Linked DNA regions of Macaca mulatta. The main gene of each other region encodes a partner of the protein of the gene in region 2 in a complex. Links are inferred from orthologs where the notes say so. Each region holds a gene or a part of one and is shown on either strand. Other genes may lie near its edges. The genes, in order: CALR3, CELF1 and CALR.

Region 1 (4,288 bases), on a different chromosome or scaffold from region 2:
GCACTTTGGGAGACCGAGGCAGGTGCATCACGATGTCAGGAGTTCGAGACCAGCCTGACCCACATGGTGAAACCCCGTCTCTACTAAAAATACAAAAATTAGCGGGGCATGGTGGTCTGCGCCTGTAATCCCAGCTACTCAGGACGCTGAGGCAGGAGAATTGCTTGAACGTGGGAGGAGGAGTTTGCAGTGAGCTGAGATCACGCCATTGCACTCCAGCCTGGGTGACAGAGCGCGACTCTGCCTCAAAAAAAAATTTAAAAAAAGGAGCCAGACACTAAACTCCACACACCCTATCATTTCATCTGTAAGAACTGTCAAGAAAATGCAAACCAATAAACTCAGAAAGCAGATCAGGCCGGTGCTGTGGCTCACGCCTATAATCCCAGCACTTTGGGAGGCCAAGGCTGGCAGATCACGTGAGGTCAGGAGCTCAAGATCAATGTAGCAAACATGGTGAAACCCCATCTCTACTAAAAATACAAAAAATTAGCCAGAGTGCAGTGGCATGATCACAGCTCACAGCAGCTTTGACCTTCCAGACACAAGCAATCCTGCTCCCGCCTCAACATCCCGAGTAGCTAGGACTGTAGACGCGAGCCACTACACCTGGCTAATTTTTTATTTTTATCTTTTTGAGAGATGGGGTGTCGCCATGTTGCCCAGGCTGGTCTGGATCTCCTGGCCTCAAGTGATCCTCCCGCCTTTGCCTCCCAAAGTGCTGGGATTCCAGGCGTGAGCCACCACACCCCGCCTGACGCGAAGTTCTAAAGCTGGATGAACTGGATGATGGCGACGACTTCACAGCTTTGTAGATTTACTAAAAATAACGGAGTCGTCAGCTTAAAAGTGGCGAACACTATGGTATGTAAATAAAGGCTCAACAAAGTCGTTAAAAACCAACAAACCAAAATTTGAAAACCCTGGCGCCCCTCAGACCATCCTGCTCTTCTCCCCAGCTATGAAGCGACCCGCCCAGGACCACGCTCCAATAGACTCCAGGCAGGGAGACTGAGGCGCGGGACCATCCTGCAGCTGCCCAACCAGCTCAGCCACGGAGAAGGCCCCATTTCCCCGTATCCCCCTCGCGAGCCCGGACGCCCAGCCAGGTCACCTCCCCACCAGCGCTGCCGACCTCCTCCCACGCCGTCCATTCGCAGAGGCAGCCGCCACATTCAGGCCTGAGGGACCGGTTGCCCTGAGCAACAGAGCCAGAGCAGAAGAGACTACATCTCCCGGCAAGCACCGCGTCCCGCAGACCAATGGCGTCCCGAATCACAATCGCGAGGCATCATGGGAGCGGTAGTTCTCTGGTGGACCCGACGTGCCCAGCGCCGCAGCTACCAATGGGACCCTCAGGTCATAATCGCGAGTTGTGACGGGAGTTGTAGTTTCAGGACTCGCCTGAAGAGCCGCAGAGAGCGCCGGGAGCTAAGGGGCGGTGGCGACCGGAAGCGCAGTGCAAACCCCCATGGCCGGGGTTCGGGTGCCCCTCTGGGGCATCTGCATGCTGCGAGTGGCGCTGGCTACCGTCTATTTCCAAGAGGAATTTCTAGACGGAGGTGAAGGGGCCACGCCCTTAGTGGCAGAGGTGTAAGCTCCCCCATCTGCCCCCCCAAGGCTGGGCAGAGTCGTCGCGAGGTCGACGGCAGCGAACTCTCGAATCCTCGAGGGTCCCCCTCACCCTTCCCTTAGGCCAAATTAACCATTATCACCTCTAACCGGTGTTATTTCCCCCTCCCCACAGAGCATTGGAGAAACCGATGGGTGCAGTCCACCAATGACTCCCGATTTGGGCATTTTAGACTTTCGTCGGGGAAGTTTTATGGTCATAAAGAGAAAGATAAAGGTTAGTGTAGAATCAGGACCAAACTGAGCCTAATGTTACATCTCCATAGCACCCTCTCAAGGTAGTTGTGGCACAGCCAAACGCTTTTATTCCCGATTTACAGATGAGACCTTAAGGCAAAGGTAGAACTTAAGGCAAAAGGGCTCCTTACCCTTGTTTTTTGTTTCCTCTCTCTTTTCTTTCTTTCTTTCTTTCTTTTTTTTTTTTTTTTTGAGATGGGGCCTTGCTCTGTTGCCCAGGCTGGAGTGCACTGGTGCGATCTCAGCTCACTGCAACTTCCACTTCCCGGGTTCAAGCAATTCTCCTGCCTCGGCCTCCCGAGTAGCTGAGACTACAGGCGCGCGCCACTGTGACCAGCTAATTTTTGTACTTATTAGTAGAGACAGGGTCCACGTTGGCCAGGCTGGTCTCGAACTCCTGACCTCGTGATCCACCCGCCTTGGCCACCCAAAGTGCTGAGATTACAGGCATGAGCCACTGCACCCAGCCTCCTCTCTCCTTTCTTTATTGCCGAAGATTACTTTTTTTTTTTTTTTTGAGACGGAGTCTCGCTCTGTCCCCGTGGCTGGAGTGCAGTGGCGCGATCTCGTCTCACTGCAAGCTCCGCCTCCCGGGTTCCCGCCATTCTCCTGCCTCAGCCTCCCGAGTAGCTGGGACTACAGGCGCCCGCAACCGCGCCCGGCTAATTTTTTGTATTTTTAGTAGAGACGGGGTTTCACCGTGGCCTCGATCTCCTGACCTTGTGATCCGTCCGCCTCGGCCTCCCAAAGTGCTGGGATTACAGGCGTGAGCCACCGCGCCCGGCCTTTTTTTTTTTTTTTTTTTTTTTTTTTTTTTTTTTTTTGAGTAGGAGTCTCACTCTGTGTCACCCAGCTAGAGTGCAGTGGCACGATCTTTTTTTTTTTTTTTTTTTTTTTTTTTTGAGACGGAGTCTTGCTCTGTCACCCAGGCTGGCCGGATCTCAGCTCACTGCAAGCTCCGCCTCCCGGGTTTACGCCGTTCTCCTGCCTCAGCCTCCCGAGTAGCTGGGACTACCGGCCCTCCCGCCACCTCGCCCGGCTAGTTTTTTGTACTTTTTAGTAGAGACGGGGTTTCACCGTGTTAGCCAGGATGGTTTCGATCTCCTGACCTCGTGATCCGCCTGTCTCGGCCTCCCAAAGTGCTAGGATTACAGGCTTGAGCCACCGCGCCCGGCCAATGGCACGATCTTGGCTCACTCAAACCGCCGCCTCCCGAATTCAAGCGATTCTCTTGCTTCAGGCTTCCGAGAAGCTGCGATTACAAGCGCGTGCCACTACGCCCTGCTAATTTTTTTAGAGACAGAGTTTCACCACGTTGCTCTGGCTGGTCTCAAACTCCTGGCCTCAAGTAATCCACCTGCCTCGGCCTCCTAAAGTGCTGGGATTATAGGCGTGAGTTGGTATTAGGTCCTCTGAAGTCCAAGGAGACATATTCAGCTTATTTGGTATAATAAAATCATACCTGAAGCACTGTCAAATATGCAATGGTATTTAACCTTCTTTGGATTATATTTATATGAATGTGTTATTAGTAGGCATTACCAAAGTTGTCCCTCTTAATAAACACTAGTCAAGTGCATTTGAGGATCAAGGGCCACGCCCCTCAGAAGGAAAAGATTAGTGGGTGCTTTTTCTCATTTTAATTTTTGCATTTAAAAAAATAGGCCGGGCATGGTGGCTCACACCTTAATCTCAGCACTTTGGGAGGCCTTAGGCAGGAGGATCATGAGGTCAGGAGTTTCAAACCAGTCTGGCCAATATGGTGACACCCCATCTCTACTAAAAATACAAAAATTAGCTGGGTGTGGTGGTGCATGCCTGTAGTCCCAGCTACTCGGGAGGCTGAGGCAGAAGAATCGCTTGAACCCGGGAGGCAGAGGTTGCAGTGAGTAGAGATCGTGCCACTGTGCTCCAGCCTCAGTGACAGAGTGAGACTCCATCTAAAAAAAAAAAAAAAGAAAAATATGGTCAGGCACGGTGGCTCCTGCCTGTAATCCCAGCACGTTGGGAGGCCAAGGCGGGTGGATTACTTGAGGTCAGGGGCTTGAGACCAGCCTAGCCAACATGGTGAAACCGGGTCTCTACAAAAATACAAAAAAATTAGCCAAGCGTGGTGGCGCACACCTGTAATCCCAGCTACTTGGGAGGGTGAGGCAGGAGAATCACATGAACCCGAGAGGCAGAGGTTACAGTGAGTCAAGATCTTGCCACTATAGCCTGGGCAACAGAGCAAGACTCTGTCTCCAAAAAAAAAAAATCTAGCTTAAAGAGAGCTAATTCAAGCTCAAAGTTTGAGGACAACTGTATGGAAAACACAGATTCCAAAGAATAGAAGTCAGTGTTCTGAAGTGTAGAAGTTTGGGATCATTTGTATAGACAAAGTTTAGGAAAGCTTAACAGAATTTCAGCATCTTTCTAG
Region 2 (3,633 bases):
TTTTAATAAACCCAGCCCTCTTTGAAGATCTGATATGTCAGTGGAGGAAGGGTTGCTATAGGAATTCTCTGCTTTCGAAGTTTTATTTTATGAAATCTTATTTATTGCAGGGTGCTGTTTTGTTACATTTTACACCCGTAAAGCTGCATTAGAAGCTCAGAATGCTCTTCACAACATGAAAGTCCTTCCAGGGGTAAGAAAGCTCCCACTAGTAAATGGAAATGTGGTAACTTTGATATATGGGATATACTTACACATATCAGGCACACACTGAAAACCATTTTGGGGAAAAGGTAATTTCCGCAGGAACTGATGTAAAGGAAGACATAAAGGGAGCACTTCAAAGATTACCTGACAGTAGTTCTCTCTCAGCCAAGAGTCTTGTGTATTTGACTTCTTGACTCACCTTTCATTTTCTGGGGAAAGATCATGAAGCAGACATGAGTTCAGAGAGAACTCTTTAAAGCTCTAGTTCTGGTATTTTAGAGTCTGTATGTATTTCTGAATGCCATTAATATATACAGTGATAATAATCATATTTTTCCTTTTTAGATGCATCACCCTATACAGATGAAACCTGCTGACAGTGAGAAGAACAATGGTAAGCAAATGTATACACTCTTCCCCTTAAGATTTTCTGCCTAGGCCAGGCGTGGTGGCTCACACCTGTAATCCCAGCTCTTTGGGAGGCCAAGGCTGGTGGATTGCTTGAGGTTGAGGCTGGAGTTCGAGACCAGCCTGGCCAACATGGTGAAACCCCGTCTCTGCTAAAAATACAAACATTAGCTGGGTATGGTTGTGCATGTCTATAATCCCAGCTTCTCAGGAGGCTGAAGCATGAGAATCTCTTGAACCCAGGAGGCGGAGGTTGCAGCGAGCCGAGATCATGCCAGTGTATTCCCACCTGGGCAACAGAGTGAGACTCTGTCTCAAAAAATAATTAAAAAAAAGAAGATTTCTGCCTAGTTTATTTGCTTTTCTTAGGATATCTGAATGGAATTGTGCTTTAAGTAATCCGTTGTCTGAGTTGTGTCAGTTTTTTCTTTAAAGTCTGATAAATAGAAAAACAGAGTTGAGGCCGGGCGCGGTGGCTCAAGCCTGTAATCCCAGCACTTTGGGAGGCCGAGACGGGCGGATCACGAGGTCAGGAGATCGAGACCATCCTGGCTAACACGGTGAAACCCCGTCTCTACTAAAAAAAATACAAAAAAACTAGCCGGGCGAGGTGGCGGGCGCCTGTAGTCCCAGCTACTCGGGAGGCTGAGGCAGGAGAATGGCGTGAACCCGGGAGGCGGAGCTTGCAGTGAGCTGAGATCCGGCCACTGCAGTCCAGCCTGGGCAACAGAGCGAGACTCCGTCTCAAAAAAAAAAAAAAAAAAAGAAAAACAGAGTTGACAGAGAAATATTATAAGAACATTGTAGAATGAACTGGAGTATGCTTGGTCAGTATAATATCTTTTGGACAGGAATGAGGGGGCAACATGAACAAATTAGGAAGGAGAACTTAATTCTCAGGAAAATAGTCAAGTCTGGGTGACGTAGCTCATGCTTGTAATCCCAGCACTTTGGGAGGCCAAAGAGGGCGAATCACCTGGCCAACATGGTGAAACCCCGTCTCTACTAAAAATGCGAAAATTAGCTGAGTGTGGTGGCGCATGCCTGTAATCCCAGCTACTCAGGAGGCTGAGACAGGAGAATCGCTTGAACCCAGGAGGCGGCGGTTGCAGTACGCTGAGATTATGCCACTGCGCTCCAACCTGGGCAACAGAGCAAGACTGTGTCTCAAAAAAAAGAAAAAAAAGTCAGAAAAGTAGACAGTTACACTCACTGAAAGGTGTGTTCTCTTCCACTTGTCATATCAAGTAAGTGTGAAAACCTCTTCTTTCTTTAGTAGTGTTGCTAGTAAGAGCAAACAATGCTGGCTGGGCACAGTGGCGCACACCTATAATCACAGCACTTTAATAGGCTGAGGCTGGAGGATTGTTTGAGCCCAGGAGTTTGAGACCAACCTTGGTAATAAGAGTGAGATCTCTCTGCAAAAAATTGACTGGGTGTGGTGGTACATACCTGTGGTCCCAGCTATTCAGGAAGCTGAGGTGGGAAGATTGCTTAAATCCAGCAGGTCAAGGCTGCAGTGAGCCATGATCATGCCACTGCACTTCAACCTGGGTGACAGTGAGACTCTTGTCTCAAAAAGAGCAAACAATTACAAAGGACTAGGGAAGATGCCAAGTACTTTGCATTTAATAGCAACTGCTACCCTTTGAAGTAAACCTGATTATTCCTATTAGTTAGATGAGGAAACAGGCACAGAATGGTTAAGTAACTTTCACAAGATTACAAAGCTACCACATTTCATCTAAATGCTTCTAATTATAATTTTAAGATAATGTTGGTTATAAGGAGAGATGTGAAGCCGGGCATGGTGGCTCACGCCTGTAACCCCAGCACTTTGAGAGGCCGAGGCGGGTGGATCACCTGAGATCAAGAGTTCAAGACCGGGCCGGGCGCGGTGGCTCAAGCCTGTAATCCCAGCACTTTGGGAGGCCGAGACGGGCGGATCACGAGGTCAGGAGATCGAGACCATCCTGGTTAACACAGTGAAACCCCGTCTCTACTAAAAAATACAAAAAACTAGCCGGCCGAGGTGGCGGACGCCTGTAGTCCCAGCTACTCGGGAGGCGGAGGCAGGAGAATGGCGTGAACCTGGGAGGCGGAGCTTGCAGTGAGCTGAGATCCGGCCACTGCACTCCAGCCTGGGTGACAGCGCGAGACTCCGTCTCAAAAAAAAAAAAAAAAAGAGTTCAAGACCAGCCTGACCAATATGGAGAAACCGCGTCTCTACTAAAAATACAAAATTAGCCAGGCATGATGGTGCATTCCTGTAATCCCAGCTACTCAGGAGGCTGAGGCAGGAGAATCGCTTGAACCCGGGAGGCAGAGGTTGCGGTGAGCCGAGATCACGCCATTGCACTCCAGTCTGGACAACAGGAGCAAAACTCTGTCTCAAAAAAGGAAAGAAAAGAAATGTGAAAAATATGAAAAACAAATGTGTGTCTTGGAATCTGTAAAATGTGGTATGAAGGCACAGAGCCAGGATTCAAACCCAGGCGGTCTGGCTCCCGAGTCTGTGCCACATTGCCTCTTTTCATAGTAATATTCAAGTCTTTTGTGTTTTACTCTCTTAGCAGTGGAAGACAGGAAGCTGTTTATTGGTATGATTTCCAAGAAGTGCACTGAAAATGACATCCGAGTCATGTTCTCTTCATTTGGACAGATTGAAGAATGCCGGATATTGCGGGGACCTGATGGCCTGAGCCGAGGTAGATACAGTTTTAGCTTTTAAATAATCTTTTGGTTTTTTTATTTTGGTTTGGTTTGGGGTTTTTTTTTGGAGACAGGGTCTTGGTCTATCTCACCCAGGCTGGAGTGCAGTGGTGCCTTCACAACTCATTGCAGCCTGAACCTCCCAGAATCAGCCTCCTGAGTAGCTGGGACCACAGGCATGTATCACGACACCCAGCTAATTTTTAAATTTTTTAGAGAGAGAAGGTTTCCCTGTGTTGCCCAGGCTGGTCTTGAACTCCTGGACTCAAAGGATCCTATCATCTTGGCCTCCCATAGTGCTGGGAT
Region 3 (4,135 bases), on a different chromosome or scaffold from region 2:
TACAGGCTTGAGCCACCGCGCCCGGCCTTTTTTTTTTTTTTTTTTGAGACGCAGTTTCACTCTTGTTGCTGAGGCTCGAGTGCAATGGCACGATCTCAGCTCACTGCAACCTTCGCCTGCTGGGTTCAAGCGATTCTCCTGCCTCAGCCTCCCCAGTAACTGGGATTACAGGCATGTGCCACTATGGATGCCAGGCTAATTTGTTTGTTTTTTGTTTTTGAGACCGAGTCTTGCTCTGTCGCCCAGGCTGGAGTGCAGTGGTGCGATCTCAGCTCACTGCAAGCTCCGCCTCCCAGGTTTACGGCATTCTCCTGTCTCAGCCTCCCAAGTAGCTGGGACTACAGGCGCCTGCCACCACGCCTGGCTGATTTTTTTTTTTTTTTTTTTTTTTTTTTTTTTTTTGAGACGGAGTCTGGCTCTGTTGCCCGGGCTGGAGTGCAGTGGCCGGATCTCAGCTCACTGCAAGCTCCGCCCCACGGGTTCCCGCCATTCTCCTGACTCAGCCTCCCAAGTAGCTGGGACTACAGGCGCCGCCAGCACGCCCGGCTAGTTTTTTTGTATTTTTTTTTTTAGTAGAGACGGGGTTTCACCGTGTTCGCCAGGATGGTCTCGATCTCCTAACCTCGTGATCCGCCCGTCTCGGCCTCCCAAAGTGCTGGGATTACAGGCTTGAGCCACCGTGCCCGGCCGATTTTTTTTTTTTTTTTTTTTTTTTTTTAGTAGAGACGTGGTTTCACCATGTTAGCCAGGATGGTCTCGATCTCCTGACCTCATAATCCACCAGCCTCAGCCTCCCAAAGTGCTGGGATTACAGGCATGAACCACCGTACCCAGCCTTTTTTTTTTTTTTTTTTTTTTTTTTTGGGTAGAGACAGGGCTTCACCATGTTGCCAAGATTGGTCTCGAACTCCTGGCCTCAGGTGATCTGCCCGCCTCGGCCTCCCAAAATGCTGGGATTACACGGGTTGAGCCACTGTGCCTAGCCTCTACAAAAAACTTTAAAAATTAGCCAGATGTCGTGCATACCTGTAGTCCAAGCTACCAAGGAAGGAGGATGATACTTGAACCTGGGGCATCGAGGCTGCAGTGAGCCATGATCATGTCACTGCACTCCAGCCTGGGTGACAGAGTGAGACCCTGTTTCAAAAAAAGCTGGGACTGAATTTTTGTCTTTTTTGGTCACTGAAATACCTTCTGTGCCCAAGACATTTCTTGGCATTTAGTAGGTACCTGAAAAATACCTGAATATAAGAGAGTGAGAAACAGAAGAAACAGGTGCAGAGAACTGAAGTCAGTAGCCCAAGGTCATGGGGGCAGGAAACCACAAAGCTGGGGTTTGAACCCAGGCAGTACAACACCTGAGTCGCTCCATCCTTTTTTTTTTTTTTTTTTTTTTTAAATATAAAGACAGAGTCTTGCTCTGTCACCCAGGTTGGAGTGCAGTGGCTTCATCTCGGCTTACTGCAGTCTCTGCCTTCCAGGTTCAAGTGATTCTCAGGCCTCAGCCTCTCGAACAGCTGGAATTACAGCCATGTGCCACAGCACTGGGTTGTTTTTTTTTTTTTTTTTTGAGATGGAATTTCACTCTTGTTGCCCAGGCTGGAGTGCAATGATGCAATCTTTTTTTTTTTTTTTTTTTTTTTTGAGACGGAGTCTCGCTGTGTCTCCCAGGCTGGAGTGCAGTGGCGTGATCTCGGCTCACTGCAAGCTCCGCCTCCCGGGTTCACGCCATTCTCCCGCCTCAGCCTCCCAAGTAGCTGAGACTACAGGTGCCCGCCACCACACCCGGCTAGTTTTCTGTATTTTTAGTAGAGACGGGGTTTCACCATGTTAGCCAGGATAGTCTCGATCTCCTGACCTCGTGATCCACCCGCCTCGGCCTCCCAAAGTGCTGGGATTACAGGCTTGAGCCACCGCGCCCGGCCAATGATGCAATCTTGACTCACCACAACCTCCGCCTCCCAGGTTCAAGCGATTCTCCTGCTTCAGCCTCCTGAGTAGCTGGGATTACAGGCATACCAGGCATGTGCCACCACAGACACCGGGCTTTTTTTTTTTTAGTGGAGACAGGGTTTCACTATGTTGCCCAGGTTGGTCTTGAACTCCTGGCCTCAAGTGATCTGCTCACCATAGCCTCCCAAAGTGCTGGGATTACAGGCGTGAGCCTGTGCCTGGCCATCTCTCCATCTTTTTTTGAGATGGAGTCTCTCTCTGTCGCCCAGGCTGGAGTGCAGTTGCCCGATCTGCGCTCACTGCAGACTCCGCCTCCTGGGTTCACGCCATTCTCCTCCCTCAGCCTCCCGAGTAGCTGGGACTACAGGCGCCCACCACCACGCCTGGCTAATTTTTTGTATTTTTAATAGAGACGGGGTTTCACTGTGTTAGCCAGGATGGTCTCGATCTCCTGACCTTGTGATCCACCCGCCTTGGCTTCTGGGTGAGGATTACAGGTGTGAGCCACCGTGCCCGGACTCTCCATCTTTTTAACTGCAATGTCAGCAGCGTTCCTTGTCTTCTCTGCAGATGCAGGCAGCAGGGTATAGTGGTTATAGGAACACAGGTGGAAACCCTGTCCAAAGGAAGGGCTATCGGGTGTCACCTCTGACCATCCTTCCATTCATCCTCCAGGTCAAGTCTGGCACCATCTTTGACAACTTCCTTATCACCAACGATGAGGCATACGCCGAGGAGTTTGGCAATGAGACGTGGGGCGTGACAAAGGTGAGTCCTGGTCCTGATGTGGGGGGCGGGCAGGGAAGGCAGGGTGCAAGGCCCTGAGGTGTGTGCTCTGCCTGCAGGCAGCAGAGAAACAAATGAAGGACAAACAGGACGAGGAGCAGAGGCTTAAGGAGGAGGAAGAAGACAAGAAGCGCAAAGAGGAGGAGGAGGCAGAAGACAAGGAGGACGATGAGGACAAAGATGAGGATGAGGAGGATGAGGAGGACAAGGAGGAAGATGAGGAGGAAGATGTCCCCGGCCAGGCCAAGGATGAGCTGTAGAGAGGCCTGCCTCCAGGGCTGGACTGAGGCCTGAGCGCTCCTGCCGCAGAGCTGGCCGCGCCAAATAATGTCTCTGTGAGACTCGAGAACTTTCATTTTTTTCCAGGCTGGTTCGGATTTGGGGTGGATTTTGGTTTTGTCCCCTCCTCCACTGTTCCCCCCCGCCCCCCGCCTTTTTTTTTTTAACTGGTGTTTTATCTTTGATTCTCCTTCAGCCCTCACCCCTGGTTCTCATCTTTCTTGATCAACATCTTTTCTTGCCTCTGTCCCCTTCTCTCTCCATATCTTTTAGCTCCCCTCCAACCTGGGGGGCAGTGGTGTGGAGAAGCTGCAGGCCTGAAATTTCATCTGCTCTCCTTCCTGGAGCCCAGAGGGGGGCAGGAGAAGGGGGTGGTGTCTCCAACCCCCCAGCACTGAGGAAGAATGGGGCTCTTCTCATTTCACCCCGCCCTTTCTCCCCTGCCCCCAGGACTGGGCCACTTCTGGGTGGGGCAGTGGGTCCCAGATTGGCTCACACTGAGAATGTAAGAACTACAAACAAAATTTCTATTAAATTAAGTTTTGTGTCTCCCTCCTGTGTCTCCTTTTGGGGAAAGACAGACTTCAGGAAACCCAGCAGTGGTCTTTTTGGGGGTGGGGAGGGTTTCCAGTATATCTCCTTTTTCAGCTGTTGCTAGAGAGGTTACTGACTGTTCCACAAGATTCCAGGGACCCGTATTTACCCCATAACCCTCAAAACCAACGGGAGAATGACTGTTGCTGCCGTAAATACTCCACATATTAATTTACTGAATCCTTGAACCTAACTGGTAAGTTTTGGTTCTGTTTATTGGTTTTATTTTTAGGATAGACTGTTGCTCTGTTGCCCAGGCTGGCCTACAATGGCTTAATCTGGTTCACCCTCTTAAACTGGCCTTCTTCATGCTTCTATTCCTTTGGGGTCCTGTGGCTCAGCCCAACCCCTCTGGGATGCCTCTAGGACTGGCAGATCCAAGGGAGAATTCTGTTTTTAATGTCGTGAGGCTTTGAAAGTTAACATCTTTAAATACTTTTGGGGTCAGATTGGGGATAGTACAACAAAGTACTCCTGGCGGGAGACCCAGGAATTAAAATAGTAGGTTCATTCCAAAAATCCG

Evidence for each region.
Region 1: CELF1 (region 2) and CALR3 share a complex: the UniProt entries of both Homo sapiens proteins name them as parts of the EIF2 complex. The link is inferred for Macaca mulatta from reciprocal best matches to the Homo sapiens genes CELF1 and CALR3.
Region 3: CELF1 (region 2) and CALR share a complex: the UniProt entries of both Homo sapiens proteins name them as parts of the EIF2 complex. The link is inferred for Macaca mulatta from reciprocal best matches to the Homo sapiens genes CELF1 and CALR.

The regions. Positions count from the first base shown.
Region 1 is NC_133424.1:16,990,752-16,995,039, reverse strand, and holds the start of CALR3 (calreticulin-3), read left to right. Parts: upstream 1-1,396; 5' UTR 1,397-1,471; coding exon 1,472-1,562; intron 1,563-1,747; coding exon 1,748-1,849; coding exon of another isoform or gene 1,850-1,855; intron 1,856-4,288. UniProt on the Homo sapiens protein: During spermatogenesis, may act as a lectin-independent chaperone for specific client proteins such as ADAM3. Required for sperm fertility. CALR3 capacity for calcium-binding may be absent or much lower than that of CALR.
Region 2 is NC_133419.1:18,109,508-18,113,140, forward strand, and holds part of CELF1 (CUGBP Elav-like family member 1), read left to right. Parts: intron 1-110; coding exon 111-193; intron 194-552; coding exon 553-601; intron 602-3,188; coding exon 3,189-3,323; intron 3,324-3,633. UniProt on the Homo sapiens protein: RNA-binding protein implicated in the regulation of several post-transcriptional events. Involved in pre-mRNA alternative splicing, mRNA translation and stability.
Region 3 is NC_133424.1:13,507,775-13,511,909, forward strand, and holds the end of CALR (calreticulin precursor), read left to right. Parts: intron 1-2,579; exon of another isoform or gene 2,580-2,628; coding exon 2,629-2,721; intron 2,722-2,798; coding exon 2,799-2,999; 3' UTR 3,000-3,570; downstream 3,571-4,135. UniProt on the Homo sapiens protein: Calcium-binding chaperone that promotes folding, oligomeric assembly and quality control in the endoplasmic reticulum (ER) via the calreticulin/calnexin cycle.